3 linked regions of the Notamacropus eugenii genome follow. The protein of the gene in region 1 purifies or fractionates together with the protein of each later gene. This does not show direct contact. Links are inferred from orthologs where the notes say so. Each region holds a gene or a part of one and is shown in the gene's direction. Other genes may lie near its edges. The genes, in order: NFKBIA, RELB and NFKB2.

Evidence for each region.
Region 2: the proteins of NFKBIA (region 1) and RELB purify together in Homo sapiens (affinity purification with mass spectrometry; 4 studies listed by BioGRID and IntAct, counting the BioPlex papers as one, with this or other methods). This does not show direct contact. The link is inferred for Notamacropus eugenii from reciprocal best matches to the Homo sapiens genes NFKBIA and RELB.
Region 3: the proteins of NFKBIA (region 1) and NFKB2 purify together in Homo sapiens (affinity purification with mass spectrometry; 6 studies listed by BioGRID and IntAct, counting the BioPlex papers as one, with this or other methods). This does not show direct contact. The link is inferred for Notamacropus eugenii from reciprocal best matches to the Homo sapiens genes NFKBIA and NFKB2.

Annotation. Positions count from the first base shown.
Region 1 is NC_092872.1:327,532,917-327,542,588, reverse strand, and holds the start of NFKBIA (NF-kappa-B inhibitor alpha), read left to right. Parts: upstream 1-5,846; 5' UTR 5,847-6,491; coding exon 6,492-6,739; intron 6,740-7,359; coding exon 7,360-7,468; intron 7,469-7,911; coding exon 7,912-8,122; intron 8,123-8,468; coding exon 8,469-8,557; intron 8,558-8,786; coding exon 8,787-9,047; intron 9,048-9,648; coding exon 9,649-9,672. UniProt on the Homo sapiens protein: Inhibits the activity of dimeric NF-kappa-B/REL complexes by trapping REL (RELA/p65 and NFKB1/p50) dimers in the cytoplasm by masking their nuclear localization signals.
Region 2 is NC_092876.1:27,467,702-27,477,650, forward strand, and holds the start of RELB (transcription factor RelB), read left to right. Parts: upstream 1-5,535; 5' UTR 5,536-5,607; coding exon 5,608-5,686; intron 5,687-6,365; coding exon 6,366-6,413; intron 6,414-8,452; coding exon 8,453-8,461; intron 8,462-8,626; coding exon 8,627-8,925; intron 8,926-9,008; coding exon 9,009-9,166; intron 9,167-9,949. Other genes in the region: putative lipid scramblase CLPTM1, read left to right, coding at 59-303, 846-939, 1,358-1,548, 1,822-1,917, 2,297-2,432, 3,376-3,543, 4,282-4,484.
Region 3 is NC_092872.1:180,576,804-180,586,956, forward strand, and holds the start of NFKB2 (nuclear factor NF-kappa-B p100 subunit), read left to right. Parts: upstream 1-5,765; 5' UTR 5,766-5,876; intron 5,877-6,972; exon of another isoform or gene 6,973-7,033; 5' UTR 7,034-7,225; coding exon 7,226-7,246; intron 7,247-7,705; coding exon 7,706-7,784; intron 7,785-7,888; coding exon 7,889-8,022; intron 8,023-8,190; coding exon 8,191-8,289; intron 8,290-8,394; coding exon 8,395-8,546; intron 8,547-9,104; coding exon 9,105-9,211; intron 9,212-9,641; coding exon 9,642-9,800; intron 9,801-9,926; coding exon 9,927-10,031; intron 10,032-10,153. Other genes in the region: GBF1 (Golgi-specific brefeldin A-resistance guanine nucleotide exchange factor 1), read left to right, coding at 103-216, 485-665, 857-994, 1,596-1,876. UniProt on the Homo sapiens protein: NF-kappa-B is a pleiotropic transcription factor present in almost all cell types and is the endpoint of a series of signal transduction events that are initiated by a vast array of stimuli related to many biological processes such as inflammation, immunity, differentiation, cell growth, tumorigenesis and apoptosis.

The DNA of each region.
Region 1 (9,672 bases):
CAAAGAGTCCAGTTTCACCAGCGCCATCCATGATGCTCAAATTACAAACCTCTCTCAGAGGAGAAAGGGAAAGGAGGACAAGAGTACATGAATGGGAGGAGAACCCAAGAGGACACTAAGAAAGTGAGTTTGAGGAGGGGCTCAGTTTATATATGGACTTTGGGGCAGGCAATTGTCCTAGATCAAAGCTTAGTCGTCTCCTCCCCTACCCTTTGTTTTAGTTCTGTTTATCAGTTCTTAAAATAAACTAAACAATCCAGGAGGGTATGTTTCAACCTTAACACCATACTCTTCATCTGCCTTCTTTGAAAGCATAGTATAGTGGGAAGAGTGCTTAATTCGGAGTCTGAGTATCCGAATTTATAATTCAGCCTGGAGTCAGGAAGACGTGTTTCTGAGTTCAAATTTGACCTGACGCTTTACTAGCTGTGTGACCCTGAGCAAATCACTTAATCCTATCTGCCTCCATTTCCTAATCTGCAACATGAACTGGAGTAGGAAATGGCAAATCTCCAGTATCTTTGCCAAGAAAACCCCAAATGGGTCATGAAGAGTCAGACATGACTAAAACGACTGAACTACAACAGCTACGTGACCTTGGGCAAGGCATTGCAACTCCTCTCTGACATTTCTTTTCCTTGCATATAAAAAGGACAGAGTTGAACCAGATATCTTTTTAAGGACCCTTTTAGCTCAGAAATCTATGATCTTATGAAGTCTCTCTACATGTGACAGAAAAAAAACACCTGTGAGGCAGCATTACTCAACGCAGTCTCGGCTCCCCATGTTGCAAGAAAAGCAAAGAACCCTTTAGAATCCCCAATTAGTAGGGACAATTCATCAAGGCTCAGAACTTAACGCCTTCCTAAATTCCGGCCACTGATCATTAAGCCCTGGACAATCAATGAGCTGTGTTACTGTTGCTGCTGCGGTTCTTGTACACTAGGTGTCAGCAGAAGAAATTGAGAATGACCAGGCAACTAAAAAAAAAGCTTCAAACAAGCTGCCCTTGAAAACTATTCTGGATTACAGATGAAATTATTTTTCATCCACATGTGCCTTTAAAATGTTACTGAAATTCAATTAAAGGAAATCCTGGGTCACTTTAGTGTCTGCCTCCACCCTTCTCACAGCAGGTGCTATGAGAGTTAATGAAATGATACTTCTAAGATGTCTGCACTCCTTCAAGTGAAGAATGTTATCATTCTTTCTACATGGAGAGTTCCGCTATGATGTTCCCAAGGACCACATCAGTGTGTTTGAAATATCAGATTTGACTGCATTTACGCAAAATAGAGTTGCAAAATTGGTCAAGGAAAATCTGATCCAAATGTTTCATTTACAAGTGAGAAAGAGGGGACATTGAGAGGTAAGTTTAAACTGTTAAATTAAATTCAGAGATATATCTTACCTAGAATTGGGACCCAGCTAAACTAACTCCCAGTAAATTGGTCTTTCCTCCTATGTAGAGACCATATAGCATATTTCCTAGTACCTAGTGGAGGATTATGATGGAGAAACTCTTTTTATCAGTCACTGAGGACTTATTTAAATGATTGCTAAACCAGAATATTAAGGATAATCTAAAGGGGCTATCCCCACCCCCTCAGGCCTCTCCTTCTTGCTGGCTTTGAGGCTTATGAAGATGACTAGTTTCCAAGGTCCAAGGCAGGGGAAGGGGGACTTTCCCCCCACCTGCCAACCCAAGGCCTCTTAGTCAAGCCTGTGTCTGGCATGGGTCTGCCTCCTGTTTGTATCTGGTCACAGAGACTTGTGAGATTTCAAAAAACAGTTGGAATTCTCCCCCTTCCCAAACAGTGGTGCATTAGTTTCATGAGCAGTTGCAACAGAAACGGCAATAGCAGAGGCAGCAGCAGACCTTAGGAAGAAAGAAGGAGTTGCCCACAGAAAGAGGAAACCACTGGAAAAGGAGTACACTTGGCATCAATTGGACTATTCTCAGTGGAGTAGAAATGTAAAAAGTAACCAATGAGCTGCCCTGTTACAAAGTCCCAATGAGGCTTGAGTATTAGCCTTTCAACTGATCGTAATCATTCTGTGAATCTTTATTGCTTAAGCTGTTCCCTTCCTGTGTGAGTATAAAACTGCTTGTTCCATACCTGATTCATGTTTGTACCTGGGTAACTTTTTTTTTACTTCCTTTCTTTCAATTTGTCTCCCCAACTCTACTGAAGAGAAACCTTCAGACTAAAACCAAAAATAAATTGTTTCTTAGGAATCTGAAGTGAGATGGAGTTGGAGCACCTCAGAGTTCAGTTCCCCTACTGAGAGGACAGAAGTCCAGAACAATAATCAAGAACAAATTGTAATGGTAAATAAAGGACAGGCACTAGCCAGCAGTGCCTGGCTAGATACTGTGCTAGATTAATTAGATGTTATTACAACTTCCCTAAAGATTCACAGGATCACAGATCTAGTGTTGGAAGGGATCAAAGCCCCGACCTAGGTGACTAAGCTTCCAGAAGTAGAATTCCAGGTCCACAGCCAGTGTTCTTTCCATGATACCACACTTACGTGTGTATTTTTCACCCTCTTCTCCTTCATCTATACTAACTTACAAACCCAGGTCCCCTACATTAAAAATGGATAAGGAGAAATACAAAGGTTAAAGGTAAGGGATACTACAAAAACATCAAGAAATTTCTGCAAACCATTTTGGCCCCTCATGTCCAACATTTGAATAGATCTGATCTAAGTTACCAGCCCACTACAAGAAGTGGAGTGATATCAGTGATACCAGGGAGGGAGGACTTGGTTTCCCCTTCCCCAGCTCCGTCATAGACACAGAATGATGTGCTAACCTGCTACTGTTTATTTAATGTGAATACCTTTCTCTCTCAATCAGAAGTGAATGCCTAAACAAACAATAATTGGTCATCCCTTCTACACCGTCCCTATGACCCCTAAATGATGCAGTTGGATATTAAGAGCTATTTCAGACTAGGAACCTACCATAAAGAAAGAATTCCAAGAATGGCTCTCTCTCTTCCCCACTCCCCACCTCCATTGTTAAGTCATCTAGTTGAAGAAATACTTTGCCACATCCAGCAGTTTGTCAGTTCAAAAGTTGAGATATATCCAAGAGGAAGCAGAGATACATATTCTCCAGACAGACATGAAAATAGAGAGGCATTCTAGGTTAGAAGCAACTTTGCTCTCTTGGAGAGGAAAAGAGAGCCTGCTATGAACTCAAAAGAAAACTCTCCCTGGCAATTGATAGTCACTCTGGAGAAGAGCGGTCCCTCGGAGCCCAGCTATGGATATGGGAGAAGTGGGGGAAATGAGAGGGAGGCATGCCATGAAGACTACAGAAAGTCTATCAAGATCCTGTAGTTCTTAAAGCATGAATTGCATTGATTATGTTTGATCCCTACACATGTGCCAAATTTTTATTGTACTCTCTTGTACATACCCTCTCTTCCTATCCTCAGCCCTAAAAACAAATGACCAAAGAGCCACCCAGCTCTGCAACTGCTGCTAATGCTAAAAAAAAAAAAAGCAACCCAGAGAGCTCACATAGCTTACCAAAACTACACTTAACTCTAAAAATAAAATAAAACAAAATAAAACCAAAGAGCTAATAGTGTGGGCAAATCTCATTTATACCAATGGCTTCTAAAGTGAGATGCAGCCCCGATAGTGGAGGGGTACCAGCAACAGTGAGGTAAGTTTGATTCATGCCAGGACTTCATGACCAGAACACAGGTACTACAGATGCTTGTCCAAGCTCACAGACCACCTGGTGCTCATGGGAAACAATTTTAGGGTTTTGCTGTGACTGAGATCATCCAGAGGGTAAGCACAAAGGATTGTTATGTTAAACAGCTTGTTTGCTGGGACTTAGCTTTGGAAAACTGGGTATTTCCTAATAGTAAAAAAAGAGATGTAAAAACAGAGGAGTGGTCTTGGCATGAGTACCCTGACACTATTAATAATAATTGTAACCAAGTGTGTTGCAGATTCGTGAAGAGAAATGTGTTGTAGCTGCAAGTCTTACTATGCCATTTTAATAAATGCCTTTGCTTTGAGCTGACATGTCTACTGATTGACCATTAATGGGAAGCACACTGGTGTGGGTTTGGAAGCTCTTGGAGCCTGTACTCACAGGGTACCTTAAAACCTGTGGGAGTAGTAGTCATGTCCCTGGGGATCCAACTTGCAAACCTGTGTGGATGAATTTGGAAGAGTAGCTCAGAAGGAGTGCTATACCACTTTAGATCTTTTGCTGGAAACTATGGACAGAACACAACTTAAGCGCCAGCGAGTTGGAACAATGGACAGAGCTTTGGACCCAGAAGACCAGGAAGACCTTATTTCAAATCCTGTCTCAGATACTAGCTGCATGACCTTGGGCAAGTCATTTCAACTTTGTCTGCCTTGGTTTCCTCATCTGTAAAATGGAGAAAATAATAATAGCACCTCCTCCTCAGGGTTGCAATGAGGATAAAATGAGGTAATATTTATAAAGAGCTTTGCAAACCTTTAATGCCACATGAATGTTTTCTAAGGAGACCTCTTCCAGAGAAGTCAATCCTGATATCCCTCTTGCTTGTGCTCCATAGTTCCTTCATATATATTTTGGATTTTTCTGTATGTTATTTCCCCCAATATAATTCGGCTTAAGGGAAAAGACTATCTTTTTTCTTTGTATCTTGAATACCACTTACTAAATGTTTGTTGGATGAAAGGATGGACGGATGGATGACATGTCCTACTTTCTCCATTACCAAATAAGGTAAGCAATTAGGTCTTTGTTGATTTTCAATGAAAGGGGGTGGGCATCTAGTATAAGCAACATTTGAGAAAAATATTTTTTAAAATATGATAGCACCCTCCCCCCACTTCTGAGCAGTTACCTGACAGACGTATTCTTGGCCCTGGTTAGCATATAGTGTAATACATTTAGACCTCATGTTTTTCACAGACATATCAGGCTGGTTCTTTGAATTACACCTCCCCAACACCCTTCCCTCTCCCCATCTTTTTTACATGGTTAAATAAAAGTTTTGCATGGAGTACTTAAACTATAAAGGGAACATGCCAAAGGAAAGAATTGACCTGGATGAATATCTGCAAAAGCATCATTGAAGGCACATAGCTGACCATCAACAAATACATAGTGGCTAACTGTAATGATACCTACCACCTCTGCTTTAAAAAATAAACAAAGGAGCCCTGAACACTTGGCTTCCTTTTACTGCTATTTCATACTTAACAGTTTCATGTACAGCGAAGAGTAATCCAATAAGAATATTTACTAGCATGGATCAGTCTGTTCCCATCTATATAGGATGTGGTGCTTGTGCAAACTCAAGGAGGCCACAAGAAGTACTTTTCATTTGAGAATTTCAAAGCACTTGGCTTTTTAACTCTTTCATTTGTCAGTATTCCTATTTAGGAAAATGAGAAAAGTAAGGAATCAGTAGGCTTTATACTGCAGATAGAGGTAGACAGCAAAGAGAGAAATGGAATCTAAGATTCCTGTCTCACTCCAACCACTAGACCACACTTTCACACAGAGGAAGTCTGGATGCATGGATCCCTGCATGCAACCATGCTTTCCATCTTTCTTCTTTACAAGATTTGTTTTAAAATAAAGACCTGTTTGGCTCAGCCAGTCCCACAGAGGAGCTATCTTGAAATCAATCAATCACTAAAAATTAGCCATGGGAGTTGTACTGAAGAAGATGCACTAGCTTCTGCTCTGCTGCTGTCCTGAGGGCCTCCGGGGCTTTGTAGCTGACTTGAAGCTGAAACATCCAACAAGGAACAGATTTTGGACTCCTGCAGAGCATGGACATGGCTACTTTTCCCTCTGTATCCCCAGTGCTTTGCACGTAGTAAGGCACTTAAATGTTGGGGAGAAAGGGGGTGCTCATTAATTGGCTGAGTTCTTCGTTCCTGAAATGTTGGAAGTTGGAGAGCTCAGAATGCATCCAACCTAAAGCCCAGACAGGGAACCCCTCGGGGTGGGGGTGGGGGTGGGGGACAAAGGAAAGGTGTTTGGCACGCTGGCGGGACTGGAGCGAGTCTGGGCTGCAGGGGAATACCTGGGGGAAAAGGAGGGGAGCCGGGGGAGGACTTTCCAACGACCGAGCGCTCATCAGAACGTTCCCCGGGCATGACCCCGCCGCCGCATCCCCGGGAGTTTCTCCGCCGAGCCCTCCCGCGGGCTGCAGGCTTTCCCCCCTCCGGGCAGGACCGGACCAGTTCTCTCTTTCTGCTCTGACTGGCTTGGAAATTCCCCGCGCTGACTCCGCCCCCGAGAAATCCCCGGCCGCAGCATATAGGTCGGCGGCGCGGCCCGCTCCCCTCCAGTCGCTTGACGGTCGCTTGGCCTGCTCCCCGTCGCCAGCCAGCCAGCTCCAAGAGCCGCCCCCTTCCTCCGCCCCCCTCGGCTCCCTCCCCGCGCTCGCCGCTGCGTTTGGAGCCCCGCAAAGACACGAAGCCCGTGGGTTCGGAGCAGCGCCATGTTTCACGCCTTGAGACAGCCCCAGGAGGAGAGCCCCCGGGAGCAGGGCATGGAGAGCCCCCGGGACGGGCTCAAAAAGGAGAGGCTTCTGGATGATCGCCATGACAGCGGCCTGGACTCCATGAAGGACGAGGAGTATGAGCTGATGGTGAAGGAGCTGAAGGAGATCCGGATCCAGCCCCAGGAGGCGCAACCCGGGCCGCCCCAAGAGCCTTGGAAGCTGCAGGTCACCGAGGACGGAGACACGTAAGTGTGGCGGGGCTCTCGGTTACGGGCACGAAGACGGGGGTCGGGGGGGGAGGGGGAACAAAGGCTGGAGGTGGGTGCACCCCAGAGCCGCAGGAACGGGCGGGGGATGCGGGGAGAGCCCCCAGCACATCGTGGGCCGTCCTCCCCCCGCGAGCGAGCGGATGGAACTTCCCTTGCCTCGCCCCCCCCTTTACAAAACTCTTCGAAGCCCTTGGCCCCTCGGGGCCGAGCTCGGGGCGGGGGACCTGAGGCCCGGGGTGCGTAAGGTGGCCTGGGGGAGGGGAGCCGCGCCGGGACTTTCTGCGGGGCTTGGCCGCGCGCCCGGGCCGCGCGGGCCGCCGCTGGCAGGGGGAAGTACAGGGCGTTCCAGTTGCTGGGGAAGGAGGGGCGGGGCGGGCCGGCGCCAGCCGGGAGGGGTGGGGGAGGGCCCGGAAAGTCCCTGGGGTAGTGCCAGGAACACTCAGCTCATAATAACCTCGCGGAAAACACCGGCCCCGGCCTTCAGAAACCCCAGCTTTGCGCAACCCTCCTTCCTCCTTCCTCCCGGCCCCGCCTCCCCCCCGCCGCCCGCCGCGCATCCCTCACGCGCCCTCTCTTCTCCTTGCTCCGCGCTGCAGGTTCCTCCACCTGGCCATCATTCACGAGGAGAAGACCCTGACCTTGGAAGTCATCCGACAAGTGGCGGGGGACGTGGCCTTCCTCAACTCGCAGAACCACCTGCAGCAGGTGCGGCCCCCTCCTTCGAGGCCGCTTGGTGCCCTGCCTGGCCCGGCCTGGCAGGCCCGGGATCAGCAAGACTGTTCTCGTTTAGAATGACTTCGGGGTCAGCAGTGACTTACATGGGGAAAGGACCTGACAGCAGGTCTAGCAGGACCCTCATCTTATAGATGAGGAGATTATTGAGAAGTGCAGTGAGGTGAAATGACTTCGAATCACTTACCTATTACCCAGGTGGCACAGTCAAGACTTGAACCCAGGCCCCCTCGACCCAAAAGAGTGCCACGGCTGTTCTCCGTCAGTAACCTTTGCTCCTGGGTTATAGCTTTGATTTCTTAATGAGACAGCATTGGCAGTTCCTAAGGCTAGGGGATGATCATTTTGAAGGGAATCCCAGAATGTTTACGTGTGACCTAGGCTCACCTGTGTTCCTCTCTCTCTTTGGTTTGTAGACTCCTCTTCACTTGGCTGTGATCACCAAACAGCCAGAGATTGCTGAGACACTGCTGAAAGCTGGCTGCGACCCAGAGCTCAGGGACTTTCAAGGGAATACACCTTTGCACCTTGCTTGTGAGCAGGGCTGCCTGGCTGGTGTGGGAGTGCTTACCCAGTATTGCCAGACCCAGGACCTCCTCTCCGTGCTGCAGTCCACGAACTACAATGGTACGACTCCAGCAATGCTACCACTCTTTGGAGGCCAGTGAGGCCCTGGACACGTTAGAACTGCTTAATACAGAATCTGAACCATGAGACTGGGAAGGAACTTGCCTAGTGTCTAAAAATCGGAGACTTTTTAAAATGTCACTTACGGCTCCATTATCAGTTTAATTTATTTAAGGGAACTTTACTTATTGGGGGGAAAGACTAGAAGTCTGACTTCTAAAATTTCAGAACACAGTAGCTTAACTCCTTTAAGAAAATGAGGGGAAAAGTCCCTGTTCTGGCAGTAGCAGGAAATGTTAGGGTTAACATGAATAATTATATTTATTTTCCTTTGCTGTTCTTGCAGGTCACACATGTCTCCATTTGGCTTCCATTCATGGCTACTTAGCAATAGTAGAACATTTGGTGTCCTTGGGAGCTGATGTCAATGCTCAGGTGATTATAACACTTTTTAAATGGTTGTGTGGCAGGGATTCAAAAGAGTCTGCTTATGGCCAGCCCTTTCCCATTGCCCTGAATATATTTTATTTCATATACACACACACACACACACACACACACACACACACACACACACACACACACACACACACACACACACACACACACACACACACATATATATATAATCTATGTTGAACATCCTAATTTTCTTGCATTACAGGAGCCCTGTAATGGTCGAACTGCCCTCCATCTTGCTGTTGACCTGCAGAATCCTGACCTTGTATCACTCCTCTTGCGGTGTGGGGCTGATGTGAACAAAGTCACCTACCAGGGTTACTCTCCATATCAGCTCACTTGGGGCAGAGAGAACACTACTATTCAGAAGCAGTTGGGGCAGCTGACCATGGAAAACCTGCAAATGCTTCCAGAGAGTGAAGATGAAGAGAGCTATGACACAGAGTCAGAATTCACAGAGGATGAAGTAAGTAACTGTTGCAACACTTATTGATCCCTTACAACATCCTGTAAAAAAAAATTTAAATGAGAACTAGGGCAAGTGTGACATGTTGAAAAGATCTCACCCTTTGAAATGAAAGAATTAGGGTTCCACTCCTCACTCTGCTGTATGTTATATATCTGATCTTTCCAAGTCAAGGTCCTTTTGGGACTTTCGTTTCTTGTGCTACATGCTGAATGAGGAGACTGAACCTCTGAGAGCTCTTCTGGCTGTATAGTTTATTTCTTCCTTGTTCCCTTGGGGCATACTAGCTCTAGCCCCTGGGAGCAAAGCAGAACATAATTCAGATTTGTCAACTATGCATTCTACTTCACCCTGTCAAAATGTCACAAAATGAATGTTATTTTTCCCAAATTTTTCCCTTAAATATCTTCCACCTATAAAAATGCCAAAAGATTCACCCATGTTCTAATGTAATTTATCTCTTGGCTTAACCCCCTGTTAAGGGAAAATATCTTTACCTTTTTTAAAAATATATATGTAATGGAGAAAGAAGCCCCAAAATTACTGAACTCTTTTCCTTTGAAGTTCTAGACATTAACTTGCCTTTTTTCTCTCCTTTTAGTTGCTCTATGATGACTGTGTGATT
Region 2 (9,949 bases), on another chromosome or scaffold:
CCCAGTCTGGGCCCTCCCTCCTCGCCCTCCTGATGGCCACTTTCCTGCTCCCCTGTAGACGTGCAGTTCGACGCGGTGAGCGGAGACTACTACCCCATCATCTACTTCAATGACTACTGGAACCTGCAGCGAGACTACTACCCCATCAACGAGACCCTGGCCAGCCTGCCCCTGCGCCTCTCCTTCTGCCCTCTGTCGCTGTGGCGCTGGCAGCTCTATGCAGCCCAGAGCAGCCGCTCGCCCTGGAACTTCCTGGGGGAGGACCTGTACGAGCAGTCAGATGAGGAGCAGGACTCCGTCAAGGTGAGCGGTGCCCCTTGGCACATCACCTCCCCTCTGCTGGCCTCAGTCTCCTTAGCTGTAAAATGGGGACAAGAGCAGCACCTCACTCCCAGGGTACTGTGAAGATCAAGCGAGAGGTTTACGAAGTGCTTAGCCCAGGGCCTGGTACACAGTAAGCACTTAAGAAATGCTTGTTTCCTTCCCTCCCTCCCACCCTTTCTTGCTCCACCAGGTGACAAGGGTCAGAGTCACTTGATCCCTAAGCTTGAGTCCTTCTAATAATGCTTCTGGGCCGGTCCTGGGGGACGCAGGGTGAGGGCAGAGGGGCAGGTGCTCCCCAGCCTCCACCCACCCTTGGGTTGCACCAGCCGTGCTCCCTTTCCTTCCTCAACTTTTCCCTCATCTCTCCCCCTCTTTCTTCTCCCTGACTTTTCCATGACTGTTCTTTCTTGTCTCCCAATGCCCTTTTCAGTGGGTCTCCTGGGCTTGGGGCCTGCCCCTGGAGGACGGGTCAGGCAGAGTCCTCACTCCCATTGACCTTCTGTGTGTCACTGCCCTCCCAGGTGGCCCTCCTCGAGACCAACCCCTACCTCCTGGCCCTCACCATCGTCGTCTCAATTGTCCACAGCGTCTTTGAGTTCCTGGCCTTCAAGAATGGTAGGGGCCCACCCAGAGAGCCCCCAGCCTAGAGGAGCCTTCCTCAAACATGCAGCCCCTTCCTACTCCAAAAAGACTAGGGCAGTTTTCCGCCTTGTTGGAGGTTCGATGCCACAAATCTTTGACTCCAGGGAGATTTGGTCAGGGCAGTCCCTGAAGAGGGGGTGAAGAAGGGTGGGGCAACAGGCGGGCACTTCCAGGCAGAGAGCAGGCAAGGCCCCACCCCCACCCGGGCTTCAGGGGATCAGCTGTCTGAGCCAAGGGGAACTCCAGGGTGGCCCTGGAGCTGACAGGAGAGGGTCCTAGCACCAGAGGGAGCCCCCAGCCTGAGCATAGAGACAGGCCCACCTCAGCCCTCTGGTGGCCTGGGTATGCCTGACTTCACCTCCCTAATTCCTGCTCCATCCCGGGCTCACAGACATCCAGTTCTGGAACAGCCGTCAGTCCCTTGAGGGCCTCTCCGTCCGCTCTGTCTTCTTTGGTGTGTTCCAGTCACTTGTGGTCCTTCTCTATATTCTTGACAATGAGACCAACTTTGTGGTTCAGGTCAGCGTCTTTATTGGCGTCCTGATTGACCTGTGGAAGATAACCAAGGTCATGGATGTCCGGGTAAGGATCTCAATCAACTCTGCACAGGAGAGTGCTGAGCCCTGACTCCCAGCCCCCACTGCAGGGAGCTAAGACCCCTCCCCCCACCCATCCCCAGTGTAGGACCAGGGAGTTTCCAGGACCAAGCCCCCCCACTAAGGATTGGGGAATTTGTATTGGGGATTTTCTGGTACTAGAGCCCCTCAGGGTATGGGGAATTGAGGGGCATTGGGGCTGGTTGTCCTCGAAGAGAGCTTTTCTCCCTCCGCTTACTCGTTTTTCCCCCACCGCTAGCTGGACCGAGAGAACAAGGTGGCTGGAGTATTCCCCCGCCTGACCTTCAAGGATAAGTCTACATATATAGAGTCCTCCACCAAAATTTATGATGACGTAAGTGTGGGGTGCAGGGCCCTGGAAAAGACAGGGGTGGGGGTGGGGAGAAGGAGGTGGAGAGAGGCAGACCCTGCATCCTGAAGGACATGGGGGAGGAGACTGGTGTGGAGGGCTCCCCTGGAGGAGGGCTGTGAGAGAGGGGGAGACCTGGGGGAATCAGAAGGGGGGGCCCTTGTGGGCATATTGGGGTGTGCACACGCATGCACACACACACCTCTCCAGCCTGCAAGTGCTAGGAAGCTCAAAGTCCTTGTGTGTTACCTGGGAAGTCCCTTGGGCAAGGCCAGAGGGCCAAGGAGGCAATGTGGGTGTGGGAGAGGAGGGGCCCTGAGGACAGGTCCCTATCAGGACTCACCACTCCCTCCCCCCCATGCAGATGGCATTCAGGTACCTGTCCTGGATCCTGTTCCCCCTCCTGGGCTGCTATGCTGTGTACAGCCTTCTGTACATGGAGCATAAGGGCTGGTACTCCTGGGTCCTTAGCATGCTCTACGGCTTCCTGCTGACCTTCGGTGAGACCCTCCCTGACAGCCGGAACACGTTAGCGGTCCTTCTGCCAGAGTAGGAAGGAAGGGGATTGGCTTTGGCATCTGAGGAGAGACCCTGAGTTTGTGTCAGCTGTACTGGGGGCTCTGGGCAAGCCCAGACCTTTCTTGGCCTTAGACTCTCTGGCCTCTTGGTCCTGTTATTCTTTTGTCCACAAGGCAGTGAATAGAGCTCTGAGAAGGCCTGACTTCTCTTCTGCCTCTGGCCATACACATGTACATGGTGGGGGAGTGCCTGGGGGACCTGGGGGATATGTTGGGACCATGGCCTAGTGACCAAGTAGCTGGAAGACCTGAGGGCCCAGCAGGACCAGGTACAGGGCACCCAGCTGCTAATGGCCGCCCTATATGTAAACTCCTTCCCCATTGCAGTTCTGAAGCTTTGGAGGTGTGGGCTGTGCTGGAGATGGCTGTGAAGGAAGAACCCAGGGATGGGGGAAGGGCCTTCCAGCTAAGGGAGGAGAATGGGGGCGCCTATGGTCCCTCTTGACCTTGGGTGGCCCCTCTAGCTATGTCCACTCAACCAAGCCAGCCCTCTTGTCTTCCCAGTGTGATAGCCAGAGCACTATGTGGAGGTTAGAAGCCCTGGCAACAATCTCAGTTTTACCCCTCACCTGATAGGACCCACTGGGCAAGACAGTTTCTTCATCTGTAAAATGAAGGGATATGGGCCATGTATCCTGTAAGGTCTCAGGTCTGACATCAGGTAGCCCAGGACACCGATGAATGCTGATGGTGTCTGGAGTGAGCTGTGACCATCTCTAAGCCTCAGTCTCTCTGTGGAATGTAGGTGTTGGCCTCAGGCGGCCCTCAGAGACTGTCTGGTCCAACCCACCCTACAGATGAGGAGACTGAGGCCCCTTCCAAGTCTCCCAGTGCGTTCACCTGCCCCCTTTGCATCCATCTCCAGGTTTCATCACCATGACGCCCCAGCTCTTCATCAATTATAAGCTCAAGTCCGTGGCCCATCTGCCCTGGCGCATGCTGACTTACAAAGCCCTCAACACTTTCATTGATGACTTGTTTGCTTTTGTCATCAAGATGCCAGTGATGTACCGGATTGGCTGTCTTCGAGATGGTGAGCACGTGGGGGCCTGGAGGGATGGGGATGGGGAAGAGGGTGGGGCACAGCCCTGGGTGAGGCCCTGAGAGCAGGATGCCAGTCAGCCCCTCGGACTAATGGGAGTCCTGTTGTAGGGAGGCAGAGACAGGCCGGCTGGACAAGAAAGGGTTGTAGGTGGAAGTGGGGAGAGTAGCCAGAAGGAGGGAAGACCTCTGAGGGAGTAGGATTCTGTTGTCATACCCTTCTCTTAGCTCGAATTCAGTAAACATTTCTTAAACACCTGGTTCATCCCAGACACTGAATTGGGAACAAGGGGCAATGCACTGTCAGATTGCAGCTCCATCTAGTGAATAGCCTCTTACAGGGAGAGCCATCCACGATGGCAAAGCCATCCCCTGGAGGGGCAGGCTCCCCAGGAGGCCTGGGACTACTTCTAGGATACTTGGGAACCACAACCCCAAGGTCTCCTAAATGCATCCAGGAGGTGGTCCATGTCAAAGGAAGTGGCCAAAGGCTCAAATCCTGCCTCAGTCACTTCGATGGTGTAAGCTCATTCAAGTCACTTTTCTGGGCCTCAGTTTTCTTCTCTGCAAAACGAAGAAGTTGGACTCTGGCCTCCAAAGGCCCTTCCATCTCTAAATCTGTGATCCTCAGGAAGCTGAGAGGAGCCTGGAGCTCTTGAGGAAGCTGTTCTGGCTGAGGGTGGGGGCAGCCCCACTGGCCCCCTCATGGGTCTCTCCTGTGCTTTTTCAGATGTGGTCTTCTTCATCTACCTTTATCAGCGGTGGATATACCGGGTGGACCCCACACGAGTGAACGAGTTTGGAATGAGCGGGGAGGCGCAGACAGCTGTGGCGGCTCTGACGCCGCCAGCAGCCCCCAGTGGGGATGGCCCCCTCCCTGGACAGGACCAGGGGCCCGCCCCCAAGCCGGCAGAGGAAAAGAAGAAGGATTAGTCTCTCCCCTGGTTTCCCTGGCCATCAACGTTCTCCCCATGCCCCCCCCCCCCAGCTCACTGTGACCCCATCCCCCCTGCCCTGGACAGACGGGGAGGGAGGGAGCTGGAGGGGGTCAGGGGAACGCCCCCCTGTTGTGATGTGGGGGAAGGCTGGTGTTGGGAGTGTGGGGAGCAGGGCGCTCCCTGCCTGTCTGTCCCTGTGTCAGTTCCAGCGCCATCTGTAATCATTGTAAGCCATCGCATCATGGCAGGGAGGTGGGTGGGAGGGGGCTGAGGCCCCAGAGCTCTCCCTCCCGACCCCCAGACCCATCTCATCCTTTCCCACCTCCCACCTCCCCCAACACAGACTCTGGATTTAATAAATTCATATGGGTGTTTAACTTATGCCAGGGCCCGGCCTCCTTCTCCTGCTGACCATCGCCGCCTAGGGGGGCTGCTGGACAGCTCCCCGGAGCCCCCAACCCCTCCCTCCCCCGACCTTGGGCTCATCCTGGGCCATAGAGACCCACAAGAGGGGGCTCCCCAGTGCCCTCCCCCCTTTCCTCTCTCTTGGAAGGGCTGTGGCCGCCCCAGTCCCTGCTCCCCCAGACCCATCCAGACCTGTTTGCAGACTGCCCCCCAAGACTCCCAGGCCTCCTCCTGGCCCGTCTTTTGGGGGCCCTTGCTGCCTCGCACTTCTCCCTCGAGACCCTGTTGGACCCTTTCCTCAAACAAGGGTGGAGGAAGAAGGGCTCAGGCTTGGGAATCCTGAGTCCTAGATTCGAATGCCCCCCTAAGTGAGGGGCTTGGCCCGGCCACAGCCGGGATCCCCTGGGCCAGGCCCCGCCCCTTCTTCCCGGCCGGCCCCGCCCCCGGCCCAGGCGGCTGGCCCTAGGTCACGTGGCGCGCGGGGGTTTCCCCGCTCCACCCGCCGTGACGTCACGGGCCGGGCTGGGCCAATAGGGGCGGCGGGCTCCGCGGCGCCGGGGAATTCCGCGGCCCCGCCCCCAGCCTCCGCCGCCTCCCCCGCCCCCCCGCGGTCCGGCCAGGCCCGGGCTCCTGCTCCGGCTCGGCTCTGTTGCGGCCCGCGGGGAGCCTGCCCGGCTCAGAGCGCGCCGCGCCCCGGGCCCCGGGCCCCTGCCATGCGGAGGAGCGGCCGTCCGGCCCGCCCGGCCCCCGCCGCCCCTGCCGCGGCCGCCGCCTCCGTGCTGGCCGCCATGGGTGAGCTTCCCCCGCCCGCGACAGTGGGACGGAGACCGAGAGGGGCCCAGCGGGGGGCAGAGATCGGGAGCGTCGGGGGAGGGGGCACGAGTGGGGCAGAGCGCAGGGGGTAACAGTAGGGGTCAGAGCGGGAGGGCCGGGGAGGGGGCCCAAGTGGGGGACAGAGTGGTAGGGCTGGGGGAGGGGCCAGGAAGGGAAAGGGGTCCCCAAGGAAGCAGAGATGGAGAGGAGGGAGCAGGGCAGTAAAGAGACAGGGACACAAGTGGGAAAGCAGGGGAGACAAGAAAGGGACCCTCTCAGGACAGAGAAGGAGGATCGAGGAACAGAAGTGGAGAAGCCGAGGAGGAAAAGGGGGACCTCCCAGGGGAGGCAGAGGAGCTGGGGAGGAAAAGGAATCACCTCCTCTTATGGGGCAGGGACAGGGATGGGGGCAGGGGGAGCAGGGAGGGACAGGGAAAGGAGATGGCCGAGCTGGAAGAGGGGGTGAGAGAGGGAGAAAGGGGATGCCCTCCCCACAGTGCAGCAGAGATCAGGGAGGGGGGAGCACCCAGGCAATGAGGGAGAAGGAAAGGGCCCCAAGTAGAAGGATCACTGCCCTCTGGGAAAGAAGAAAAAGGCCTTGGGGGAATAGCGGGAAGGAGGGCCAGGTAGAATGTTCCATGAATCTGCTCCTTCCTAGGACCCACTGAGCTCCCAGCCTTGACTCTGCCCACCTCTCGCACCACAGGTGGGTACAACCCGCTTCTTCCCCCTGCTTTGACACTTGGTCCTGTGTCTGGCACACCTCCACAGGTGCTCAGTAAATGCTTGTTGACTCAGACTCCTGGAGCACTCCTTTGCACCTCAGTTTCCTCATCTGTAAAATGATCTCTCTGATACTGGGCTTCAGAGCCCCCCAGGCTTACTGTGAGAAGGGTCTTTAGAGGCTGGCTTTAATCGAACAGGAAGCTGGAGGCTAAGAAAGACAAGTGAGTTACCCAAGCCCACACAAGTAGTTAGTGACTGACCTGGGATCTGAACTCAGACCCATTGATTCAGAACCAAGTCTTTTCCCCTGTACCATAACCCGCTCCCTCAGCTCTGACATCCTCCAGCTTTGCTGGTCTGTGCCAGCTCTGACATTTCATGTTCTAAATTCCCTCCCAGCCCTGACCTTCTGAGGTTTCATTTTTCGTTACAGTGCAATGAATTTACCTCCTCAGTCTTTTGACTGAAGGGAAACACAGTTCTCTGGCCTCAGACTGAGTGGGGGGAGGGGAAAGGTCACTGCAGAACCAGGAAGTGCTGTGGCCCTGGGCAGGTACCTGTAGGTAGCCACTGGGCCATCGGGGAGGTGGAGGAGAAGAACTGGGATTCCCCTTCAATGATCCTGCCCTGCCCAAAGTCCCTTCTGTGGGGAGGGAGCAGCCTGGCCTGGTTTGGAGAACTGGGTTACCATCTAACCTCCATCTGGATGGCCTTCAACCTCTCCCTCTCCAGGGCTACAGATTATCTGTTTCCCCATCTCTAAAATGAGGGGCCTGGACTGTATGGAATCCAGAGTCCCTTCCAACTCTTTCATTCTCTATACTATTTTGACTCCCAGCGCCTCTCCAGGCTTGGGAAGAGACTGGGACTAGGCACGGTAGGATGGTAGGATGAGAACTCTGGTCTCAATGGCTCCTTTCCTCCTCCTATACCCCTCCATTCTGCTTTCGTTTTCTACCTTTCTATCTCTCCCTTCATAATCTGGCTCATTCCCTTGCATGGTCCAGGAATCATGGAGGGTTCCCAGAGCAGGGAAGGGGCAGTGTCCATGGATGGGTGGGGCCCCAAAGGGCAGAGATACCTGAGGAAAGGAAGAAGGCCAGAGGAATCCAAGGACTGCAGAAGGATGAGAGAACAGAACAGGGGAAAGAGGGCTAGGAGGAGGAAAGTCCTTGAGGGTCTCTAAAGACTCCCTTAGGCCTAGGGCCTTGGCAGCTGAGGATGGGGAATTTGAGGACTGACCCTCATTTCTCAAAATGAGGATGGTGGCCCAAGCCTTGGGTGTTAGGAGATTTGAGGTTTACTGCTGTCTCAATTTATTGACTTAGACAAGTCCTTTTCCCCAGTTTGGGCCTCAGTTTCCTTAATTATCAAATGAGGGGATTGTATAAGCTGACCTCTAAAGCAGTTGTATGACCTTGACACCTTGTTGGGCTCTAGTTTCCCTCTCCGAGGCTGAGGACCTGGGTTCAGTTCTAACCCCCAGACCTTGGGCAAGTTACTTTATCACTTTGAGCCTCAGTTTTCTCATCTGTTAAATGGTTTGGAAGACACCTAAAGTGTACATGGGGTTGAAGGAGTGGCGAATGGGAAGAGGGAGGGTCTGGGATGAAGATGATGGAATTAAATTGGGGGAGAAGGGTGAGCAGGGCCAATAAGGGCCTGTGCCATGGAGTGGAAAAAACTTGGAACAAAGTCAGGAGAGATCTTGTCTCTACCATGTACCAGCTGCATGCCCATGAGCACAGCTCCCTGGCTCTGAGCATCTGCTCCCTAGCTTCTCAAAGGATCCCCTCCCAGGGGCACTGAGATCCCGTGGGATCACAAAGTGCCAAACATGAAGCATTTAATACAAGTTATTTTTATAGGCCTTGACTACCCCATCCATAGAATGGGGGGGGGGGGGTCCTTCTAGCTTTACCATTACATCATCTGCTGGGAGGTCCAGGGGTGGGACTGGGGAGCACTTCCTAGTGATCCCAGGACTCTGATCTCTCTCTCTCTCTGTTTCCCCTACAGATGAATTGGGTAAGTGTAGGGGGGCCCCAGGGGAGGATTGGTGGGGGCCTCTGGGAGAAGCAGGCACTGACCTCAGGAGAGACAGTAAAAGAGGGAGAGGGCATGGAGATGACACTTGGGAGTTTGGGGGAGAAGGCGGTGAATGACTGACTGGCCACTGTTACCTGACCCCAGACATCATTGATGAATACATCAAAGAAAATGGCTTTCGTCTCGAGCGGGCCTCTTCCGGGGAGGGGGGCCTCCGGCTGGTCCCTCGGGGACCCGCCTCTTTGAGCACTGTGACCGTGGGGTGCCTACCCCCCCCACCCCCGCTCCCACCAGCCTGGCCCGGCCCCCGGCCCCACCTGGTTATCACAGAGCAGCCCAAGCAGCGGGGGATGCGCTTCCGCTATGAGTGTGAGGGCCGCTCAGCTGGCAGCATCCTCGGAGAAAGTAGCACAGAGGCCAGCAAGACCTTGCCCGCCATCGAGGTGGGTGCTAGGGGGGCTGGGTGTTGGGAACTTGCGGAAAAGGCGGGCAGCAGAGTCCTTTACATCACCCTCTGCTTCTACAGCTCCGGGACTGCGGGGGCATCCGGGAGGTGGAGGTCACGGCCTGCCTGGTGTGGAAGGACTGGCCCCACCGCGTTCACCCCCATGGCCTCGTGGGCAAAGACTGTGCCGATGGCGTCTGCCGGGTCCGGCTGCGGCCTCACATCAGCCCCCGACACAGGTACCCACTGTGATTCCCGTTGAGCCTTCCAAATTTTAGAAGAGCAAAACTCCCAGCACCACAGAGCTGGCCCTAGCCCTGGGCAGGCAGGGCTTTGGCCCCAGGTGTCACGTGTGTGTGTGTGTGCGCGCGTGTACGTGTGTGTGGTGAGTGGGGGAGAATGCACTTCACAGGATCAGGTAGTGAGCTGGAAGTGGACTTAGAAATTCAGCCTCCTCATTTGACAGACTCGAGCATCAAACAAGACTCTGTGCTTCCTCCTGGAGGTGACGACCTTTGACACTTAGAAGCAAATAGAAACGATCACTTTTGTCTTCCTGACATCAGTGTGCTCTTCAGTGTTAGGATCCACGTTGACATTGCTGGAACAGCCATCTCCATCGATTCTGCTAGGGCTCAGGCTTCCCTGCCTGTCAGCCCTCCTCTCTAGGGCTTGTCTCCCCCATCAGTGGGAGCTTCCTGAAGGCAGGGCTTTTCTCTGTTTGTTTGTCCAGAGCAGAGCCACTCAGTTACAAATGATTAAACAAACTCAGATGCCAAGCACATAGTAGGCGCACAGTAGGTGTCTTGATTTGTTCATTCAGTCATTCATTGTTAAAATCACTTAGAACTTGAGACACTAGGCCCTCCAACCCTGTGCTACTCTAGGGTGTGAGTCTGCTTCTCAGCTCAGGGACGGGAGGGTCTGAGGGTGTCAGGTTCAGAGTAGACCATTCCAGGTAGAAGAATCATTCTAGATCATTGCATCTAGCCCCTCCCCATTTCATTGGACAGCTACAGAAG
Region 3 (10,153 bases), about 150 Mb from region 1:
GGCCTACAAGGGAGACAGGCTAGATAGGGCTTCTTCCCATCCCTGGAACCAGGGACAAGGGTGGTGTCTTCGATCATCTGATCAGCCACTGGTGGGCCACAGGTGTTCCTGCAGCACCTATCCCCACTGCTGTCACTTCCAACCTTTGCTGCACTCTGGCTGACCATCCTGGATTTCATGGACAAGTATATGCATGCAGGTTCCAGCGACTTACTGGTATGGTCCCCTACAGCTCCCCAACCTCTGCTCCCTCCCCATTAAACTCGGTCTCTATCCACTGAGCTTTGTCCCTACCCTATCCTCAGTGTGGCCTCTTCTCCTGTGCTCCTTCCACCTCCCCCCCCACCAGGCCCAGTCACTTTGCCCTACCCTTCTAAATTCCTAACTTCCACATGCACTTGTTCAGTTTCCTTGTCTGAGGGCTGCTCTTTGCCTCTTTCCCATCTGTTCTGTTTCCCCCTCCCCACACATACCTCTCTCCCAGTCTGAGGCCATCCCTGAGTCACTGAAGAACATGCTGCTGGTGATGGATACTGCCGAGATCTTCCATAACGCAGACACCAGGGGAAGCAGTTCCTCTGCCCTCTGGGAGATCACCTGGGAACGTATTGACTGTTTCCTGCCCCACCTGCGAGATGATCTCTTCAAGCAGACAGTCATCCCTGGTATGGGAAGGCCCTACTGAGCACTTCTCCCCAGCTTCAGCACAAAGGAACCCTAGAGCTCCCAGAGAGCCTAAAACTGGATTGGGGCTCAGTGCCCTGGGTTGGTCAGTGGCACACAGCCATTGGGAGGAGACAAGACTATTCTTTTACAGAAAGCTAAGAGATACTATCTGAACTATAACTCTCCCCAGATCCCCTGCCACCGGTACCTACCGAACCGCATTCCCAGAAATCCTTGACCTCTGCCCATTTGACTCCTGCTGCCAGTGACCCAAGACTGTCTAGCCACAACTATACTCCAGAAATGCCCTCAGAGCTGGGGGCCTATGGTAAGTCTCCTTTCTCTGCACTTCTAAATATTAAAAGAAGGGGTAATGAGAGGAAGAGAATAAGCACTTAGTAAGCTCCTGCTGTGTGCCAGGCGCTGAGCTAAGTAGGAGGTAGGTGCTATTATTGTCCCCATTTTACATATGAGGAAACTGAGGGAGACAAGTTAAGTAGCTTGTCTAGGATTAGTGTCTGGGACTGGATGTGAAATCTGGTCTTAATGACTCCAAGGACAGCACTCCCAGGGAATCAGAAAAGTGTAGGCTCCATCAACCGCCAGTATAGTAGAGCCATTCAGAAGGAAGTGTGAGTGAGGGGGAGAGTGATGCTGAGCAAAGGGATAGGAGGACTACGTCGTTTGGGCTTTTCTTTATTAATTCTTGTAGAACTCAGGGTAGAAGAGTAGGGATTAAGCCTAGATGTAAAATGAACTGCCTGGTTGGTTAGACCCTGGAAGAGATGACTTAAGGAGACTCAGCACTGCAACAAGGTAGATTATCACTTGTCTAGGCTGAGGCAGGGAACCTAATCCAGGTGCATGGGAGGAATGTTTGTAGAATGTGCCAAAGTGGGATCTGAATATTGCAACATTTTCCCCCACAGATTCAGAGAAGCCCGAGGTCTCTGGAGCAGCAGCCAGTAGTTGTTCTGGTTCTTCTACAGTCTTGACACCCAGCAAGCTGAGTCCCAGCACAGATGGCCCTGCGCCCTTGGCCCAGCCCCCCCTGATCCTGCAGCCCCTGGCTTCCCCACTGCAGGTGGGCGTGCCACCCATGACATTGCCCATCATTCTAAATCCAGCCCTAATCGAGGCTACTTCACCTGTACCTCTGCTAACTGCTCCTCGACCCACTGACTCTATGCCCACTTCTGAAGTCAACTAAGACAGGTGATTGGAAAGACTGGGCCTATCCCTTCTGTCACACCACTGAGGGCCTCTCACCCTCTCCCTCTTCTGGTTGCACACTATGTTGATGCCACCTCTGGGCCCAGCCCGGCCACTGCTGCTGCTCTCATTGGAGCCAAATTGGAAAATTGCTGAAGGGAATGAGGGCAGCACTCCTAGAGACGTCATCCAGGGAGAAGAGACTGTCTTCTTCTGCTCATCATTTCTGGGAGGCCTCCCTGAGAGCCCACCCCAGGCTAACTCTAGTCTCTAAGGAGTCCTGGACTAACCCTAAGGGAGAGACCTGTGGGCATCAGTGCCAACCAGCCTTGTCCATGTTGTTTCTTGGCATTAGGGGCCCCTTGTTTGCCCTTATCCTTCAGTCCGAGCTCTGAGAGCTATACTCCAACCACATTGCACTTTGCTTCCCTTTCCTCAGACCTCTCCTCTCCCCATCAGCCCTGAGCTACCTCCTCCAGCTCTTCCTCCTTTATCCGTGAGTTGGGTTCATTTGGGGAGTTAGTTAGGGCCAGGAGACAGAGGTGACGAGGGGAATTGCCGACAGGAGCATGTACATATGAAGTTAACAATTGACTTTTTACAATGTAATAAATGTAATAAAACCCACCCACCAGCCTCCCGTTCCCCTTCTGCTTTACCTCCTCCCCTTCCGAATACTTCTTTTCTCAGTCTGTGGCCTGACTTGATAGAGAAGGGACTAGTCCTAACACAAGAGATCCACAGGGCTAGCTGAGGGGGAGAGAAGACATAAACGGGGACCCTGCAGCATTCTGTCCCCTGCTTACCAAGGAACTGGATACAAGGACAGGTTTTCTTTGTTGCCAGTCTGTAGCCACCAGTCACTTTGCCCAACTACCCTCCTGCCTGGGGAAGGGCATCACTAAGGGCAATTGTACCTTCCAAAACTAGTGGGAAATAAGGCTAGAACAGTTTATGAATAATTGCAGCTCCCAGAGATTACCTTCCTCCACAGTCTCCCTGTTCTAAGGAGAAATGAGACAGTGGGGGAACTGAAAACTAGGGCTGGTGTTGCCCATTACCGGATAGAGCTAGGCCTTAATCCTTGCAATCTACTATCACTAGGGCTCCAGAAGCTTAAGCCTAGGAACCAAGTCAGAGCATCATAAGATGTCAGGTATGAAGAAACTTTAGGGCCTATACCCCACCTTCTTCAACAGGGGTGGAAAACGGAGGCCCAGAAAAATTCAGTGACTTGCCAACCCTGTGACTCCCAACTTATCTACTTGCAGAAGGCAAGATGGTATGCAGATAGAAGTGGCTGAAGATTTTCCCCCCCAAGTCCTAGTCTCATGCCTATAGGGCCTGGCCTTTGAAGCATCATACCCACTACTATAAGTTAAGGGCCTGCTTCTAAACCACTAGTCTGTGCCTGGTACTTCTCTCTCAGTGCCACCAGGAAAAAGAGAGGAGCAGGTACTTCTGGGTACTAACACATTCTTGCGATTTTTTGCCGTTTTCCTACATTATTGCCCACCCCCCTCAAGGACTACAGAAGTCAGCACTCACAGTTATGGCTGTATTGCCCCAGAAATGCCTCCCCCTGATTGCCACTTCTAAAGAGCAGCAGCCCTGAATGCCTACAACATCCTCCTGTGGGAGGGTGACTGGGTATAGAGCTAGAACTTCAAGATGCTAGAGTCTCACCTAGGAAAACTTCAACTGTGCTCAAACTAGGCCTAGAATTCCTCTTTTGCTTTAAGGGTCTTCTGACCACTTGTGCTTTAATCAACCATAGGGAGGGAAAACAGGGATATAAGCTGTGTGGCCGACAAGGGGAAATGTGGAGCTATCTTAAGGAGGTGGTGATAAGAATCTTAGAACTCAAGGTTGAAGGAATTCAACAAGAATAGGGAACTAGGTAGCTGTAGAGTCTAGCTGGTTTCCTGCCTATCATTCAGGAAACAAGCATTTAGTAAGTGCTTACTATATGCCAGGCACTGCTGAGCACTGAGGATACAGATAGACAAATACACCCTCCCTTACCTAAAAGAGGTCACATTCTAATGGATGAGACAACATGCAAATGACATGTAACATACTGTGTACATGGCAGATGATGCTAGAGGGATGGAGTGGGGGCAGAGCCTGGGAGGCTTGCAAAGGATGGAGGAGAGCAAACCAGACATGGGAAACAGCCAGTGCAAGAGTCTAAGCACAGGAGATGGACCGTTATGTGTGAGGAACAGCGAACAGGCTGGTGTAACTGGATCGTAGAGGAGAGTAAAGTGTAAAAAGCTGGGAAAGAGGAAGGAAGGCCAGGTTGTGAAGGGCTTTCAATGCCAAACGGGCTTTCTGCTTGATCCAGCAAATAGTAACCATTGGAGTTGATGGGAGGGAGAAACCTGGTCAAACTTTGGCAGTTTAATAGAGGGTGGATTGAGGCATGAGGCAGATGGACTAGTCATAAGGCTGTAGCAGTAGTCTAAGCAAAAAATGATATAGACCTCCAGGAGGATGAAATACTGAGTGAAGACAAGTGAGTTATCAAGGAATGACAGGGGCTTCAAGCTTGGGGGACTGAAAGGATGGTGGCACCCTCAATAGTAACAGGAAAATTGGGGAGAAGTGAAGGTTTGAAAGGAGAGTTTTTGGACAAAGTTGGGTTTGAAATGCCTATGAAACATCCAAAAGTCAGTTGGTGATGTGGAACTGGAGCTCAGGAGAAAGATTAGAGTTGAACACATAAATCTGGAACTCAATTTGCACAGAGATGATAGTTAATGGGAGCTGAGATCACTAAGCACTGTAGTACAGAAAGAGGGTCAGCCTTATGGGATACCCATGATTGGTGGGGTGACCTGCATGAAGAGTCAGTAAAAGAGCCTAGGGAAGGGCCAGATCTATGTAGCTAGTCAGGCCTAGCAGCCTTGTCTTAATACACTGGGTCTTTCTGTGACCACTGGTCTTTTGATCCCTAGCTGACAGAGATCAAAGCTTAGAAGTTATGGATATCTGACATTTTGTAGACTATGTTTTACTTACATTATGGAACTGGAACTTGATCAGCCTGTGAAAAAGGCATGACAGACATTATTACCATTTTAAAAGATTAGGTCACGGAATTAGTGTCTGGTGGCATTTGAACTCAGGTCTTTTCAAATCCGAGTCCAACTCTCCAATACACTAGCTTGATCCGACCGTTTCCTCCCTCGGACCAGGGGTATCCACCGCCAGCTGGGCTCTTGCCCCCTCCCTCAACAATGAAGCATTTCTTAAGGGCCTGTTACGCGCTGGAATGGGGACCCGAGGACAACAATTAATCCACCCTTGGCTCACGGGGGGCTGGGGGAGGGCGGGAGAACGAGTCGGTGCACAGGCGTGAACAAACCCAGCAGTGCTGCGGGGAGCGCGGGCGGCCGCACGGCCTCCTGCCACACCCCCACCTCCTCCACGCTCGGGCAGCGCGGGCCCGGTCCGGACGGTGCCCAGCAGGGTGGCGCTCTCGATCCCGCTCCCAGACGGAGCCGGACGGGGCTCTAGGGTCGCGGGCGGAACCCCCCGCCCCTCCGAGCTGGCGGGCGAGGGCGGTGCCCACGGAGCTTCATCTCCACTTCTCGGGGCTGGCCACCGGGCACCCAGAGGGGGCCGCAGCTCCGGGCGCGAGGGCGCGGAGACACCCAAGGAATGCCCACCCTTCCCGGATCCCTCCCTGGAGAAGGGGGAAGGGGGAAGGGGTTCTCTTCCCGGCTGGGAGGCGGAGACACTAGGGGAGGGGGCGGTGCTCCATGCTCAGTCCTCATTGGCTGCACCGACTGCGGGCCAAAACTTTGAGCCAATGAGAAAGAGGCCAGGCGGTGACGCCCCGTGACGTGATGGGAATTCCCCCCCGAGGGGGGGGGCGGAAAAGGGGCTTTCCCGGCTGGGGCCGCCGCGGGCCGAGCCGCGCCGGGGTCGGACGGCTGGCGGAGGCAGGACTCGCCGGTAGCGGAGCCGGAGCCGGAGCCGTAGCTGCAGCCGTGAGTGGTGCCCCTGCGTCCTGCCCCTGGGTTCCCTCGGTTCTCAGAGCACGGGTAGAGGGGCGGGGGCGGGCCCCCACTCAGCCTTGAGAGTCAAGAACCCAGGTCCGCACGGGGCGCGATCCCACGCAGACACACATCCCCCACTCACGCGCCTTCCCACGTAGACGCTGACACGCACGAGGGTCGGCCCGCGAGGGACCGCAGTCCTCGGCACACATCGCAGGCACGGAAGGGTGTACACCCTTCCGCAGAAAAACACACTGACACGCGTGTGCGCGGTTGTATACACACACACACACCCCCGGCACAAGTACGCGGATACCCAACCGTCTCATTTTAGCACGGTTACACAGACACACGTGCATGCAGGCAGACACAGAGAGAGACAACTGGAATCTTTGTCTCTCGGCATCCCCACGTACAGGGAAGAGTGGGGAAGGAGCTGGGTGGAGGCAGGCTCCCCTCCCCCAAGCTGCCCAAAGTCCATAGGAAGAGCGGAGGGCATTATATCCCCAGGGACTTAGGGCAGGAGGGCCCCCAGAGGAGAGGGGGCTCCCTACCAGAGGAATCTCCCCCAAAAGCCCCAAAGGCTGAATCAGCAGTCTCCTTCCCTCCTTCCCCCCCAGGCCCCAACAGATGACCCACGGAAAATCCCAGGGGAGCCCCAAGCCGTGGGAGGGGGGAGAAAGGGAAGGAAGGCTAGAATAGTAAAGGGAAGGGCAGGTTTGAAACCCAGGAGGGGGTAGCGGGAGAGACAGGGGAAACTCTCATTGGGCTTCCAGATTTCACCACTGGCCTGGAAAGGTGCCCCCAGATCCCCAGCTCAGAGCCCCTCCCTCCTACTGAAATCCTCTGCCTTCCCTTGCCCTAGTCTTCTCCCCCTTCATCCCCAGCAATCAGCCCCTCAGACTTGGGGTTCCTCTGATAAGGGGCGAGGGTTCCACAGCCCACGGTTCCCCACGGAGCAAGGCTCTGTTCTGGGAGTAGGGAAGAGAAAGGAGAGCAGGAAGGGGCCCCTCAAACTCCTAACTGCGCCCTCCCTCTCTGGGCTGGGCAAATCACGTCATTTCCAGGCCCACCCCCTCCCTTCGCCCCTCCTCTCTCTGGTATTTTCGGGACTTTCCTGAGCTGTTCTAACTTTCCTGCCCTCCCAGCCCCCGCCTGCCCACAGCTCTCTGGCTCTCACCCATTCCAGCCTGGCAGGAGGAGGGACCCTCTGCCCCCTACCCTCAGGCTCCTGGCTATTCCCTTTAGACCTGGCCTGAGGGGTGCCCCTCCACACCCACAAGCACAGGTACTTGGCGATACATCGGCAGCAGAAGCTGGACAGAGCCCAGCTCTAAAACATGGACGATTGCTATGGCCCAGTGAGTGCTAGCCTAAGTGGCTATCTTTGTGACTCTCCTTATTACCAACTCTCTCTCTCGGACCCTGTAGGCCTCTCTCTGTCTGTCCGTCTGACCATCTGGAGTTCTCTCTGTTTGGCTAATATCCTAGACTCTGTCTTTCAGTGCCCCTCCCCACCCCCACCCCCACTTTACTCAGTCCTGTCTGTCCTGCCAAGCTCTGATCTGTGTCGACCCCTTGGATTCCTGGTCCTCTGTCTATCCAAGCCTCTGTGTTGCTTTCCTGGCTCTTATGATGTGAGCTGCTGCCCCTTCCTCCTTTTGCCTCCAGCTCTCTGGCTTCCCCCTTGCCCCTCTTTCTTGGTTTGTCTGTCTGACCACTTCTGGTCCTCTCCTAGTTTGGGTGATCATTCTAAGTGGGGGATGGGAATAGTAATTTTGTGGGAATGGTAAGTTTCCACTATATCTATCCAAATCCAGGGTTTGGATGGCATTGATTACGATGATTTCCAATTCAACTCCCCGGTAGTGGATCGAAGAGAACCCCCAGAGGAGACCGGTCAGTATGGCTCTGCTAATACCAAATTTCCCAAGGACTCCTAATCCCCTTTGTCTCCCTCCTTGTCAATTCCCACTCCTGCCATCCAGTTGTTTGTTCCCCAGGAAGTAGAAATATAGGACCTTCTGCCAGAATTGGGGTGGGTATGAAAGGAGATCTCAAGACCCCTGGCTCAGACATGCCCCCTCCATCCCCAGGTGAGGGCCCCTACCTGGTCATCATGGAGCAGCCCAAGCAGGTGAGAGCAGGAAGGGGGACCAGGGTGGCTAAGGGGCTTTGCCTTCCTTCAGTTCCAGGGGTGGGTGGGAGTGTTCCTTAGTGGTTAGAGGCGATCCCTGTGAGTTGGGGAGTGGTCCGTGCAGACTGGGGTTATCACTCCTCACTATGGCTATTTTCTGATCCTCAGCGAGGCTTCCGCTTTCGCTATGGCTGTGAGGGCCCCTCCCATGGAGGGCTGCCTGGAGCCTCCAGTGAAAAGGGTCGTAAGACATATCCTACAGTTAAGGTGAGCAGAAGAGAAGGTGGGGGGGAGGGGTTTTGCCGCTGGAGAAGAGGGGCAGGGAGGTGACTGTCCATGTGTGGCAAATATCCCTCCATTCATCCTCCCCAGATATGTAACTACGTGGGACCAGCCAAGATTGAAGTGGACCTGGTCACACACAGCGATCCACCTCGGGCCCATGCACACAGCCTGGTTGGGAAGCAGTGCACAGAGCTGGGTGTCTGCGTGGTGTCCGTGGGACCCAAGGACATGACAGCTCAGTACGATGTCCCCATTCCCATCCCTACCCCCACCCTTGAGCTTTTCTGAGGCCAGCAATAGTTCTGCTTCCCCCCTCCAGTCCCCTGGTTATTGAATCTTCTTCATAGGCTTAATGTCCATGCTTGGTTGTACTGGAACAAAAGGGGACTTGATTGGGGAAATCAGCATCTTGGTAGGAGTAAGAGAAAGAGCAAACTTAAACCCTACACTCAGAACAGTCTGGGGGGGTGGAGGGAACAGGACAGAGTGAAGGCTTGGCCCCAACCCTTGGTTGCTCATGGCTTGGCCAAGGAGATGAGATTCACTCCTGGGAATATAATGAAATAAGCAGTGTGTGTTCTGAGGGTTAGAGCAAGCTGCTTGGATTCAGGGCTGGAGGATCTCAGCAGAGGTGGAGATCCCTGTGGATTGGAGGAATCAAGGAAGCCTGCCTGAAGGATGCAAAGGACTTGGACAAGTAGAAAAGCAGGGGGAAGATATTTCCCACCCAGGGAGCCGCTTGAGCCCTCCCATCTTTTGCTTCTCCGTATCTGATTTGTCACCCTGACTCCTTTCAGGTTTAACAACCTGGGAGTCCTGCATGTGACAAAAAAGAACATGATGGAGATCATGATGCAGAAGCTGCAGAGGCAGCGACTCCGCTCTAGGCCCCAGGGTCTAACAGGTATGGGCACCATGGAAAGGGGAGTATGTGTCTGGGGCTGTGGGTAAGGTAGAGAGGAAGAAGGGAGGGGGGGAAGAGGAAGGGAGAGAGAGAGGGAGATAGAGATAAAGAAAGGAAGAAAGAGAGGTTGAGAAAGATTGAGAGAAATTGAGAGAAAGAGAAAGATTGAGAGAGGGAGAGGGAGGAGGGAAGAGAGAGAGAGGGAAGGAGGGAGGGAGAGAGAAAGAGATTGAGAGAGAAGGAGGGAGGAGGGAGGGAGATAGAAATAGAGGGAGAAAAAAAGAGATTGAGAGAGAAGGAGGGAGGAGGGAGGGAGAGAAAGAGAGAAAAGATCAAGGGCACTGGGAGGGCCCATACAGTGACCTGAGGATTGAGGGGGTCAGACAAAGGGTTGAAATCAACTGGATATACATGTGACTGCCCATCACAGAGGCTGAACGGCGGGAGCTAGAGCAGGAGGCCAAAGAACTGAAGAAAGTTATGGACCTCAGCATTGTCCGGCTCCGCTTCTCTGCCTTCCTCAGGGCCAGTGATGGCTCTTTCTCTCTCCCCCTCCCACCTGTCATCTCCCAGCCCATCCACGATAGCAGTGAGTGACCCAAGCACAGTTAAAGGGGATATGGAAAATGTGGAGCAGAGACCACAGTTGGAGGGGGAAGACTGAGGGGATGATGCCCAAGCTGGGCATTCTGTTGAGATCACTTGTTCCCCCTAGAATCCCCTGGGGCCTCAAACCTGAAGATCTCCCGAATGGATAAGACAGCTGGATCTGTTAGGGGAGGGGATGAAGTTTATCTTCTCTGTGACAAGGTGCAGAAAGGTGAGAACAGAGCCAGGGACTGGGACAACAAGCGAAAAGGAGGAGGCTGTGGGCCTAAACTGGGTCCAGGGATGCCAGGGGGTTGTGCTAGAAGACAACTGAGGCTTTGGATGAAGCTGTAA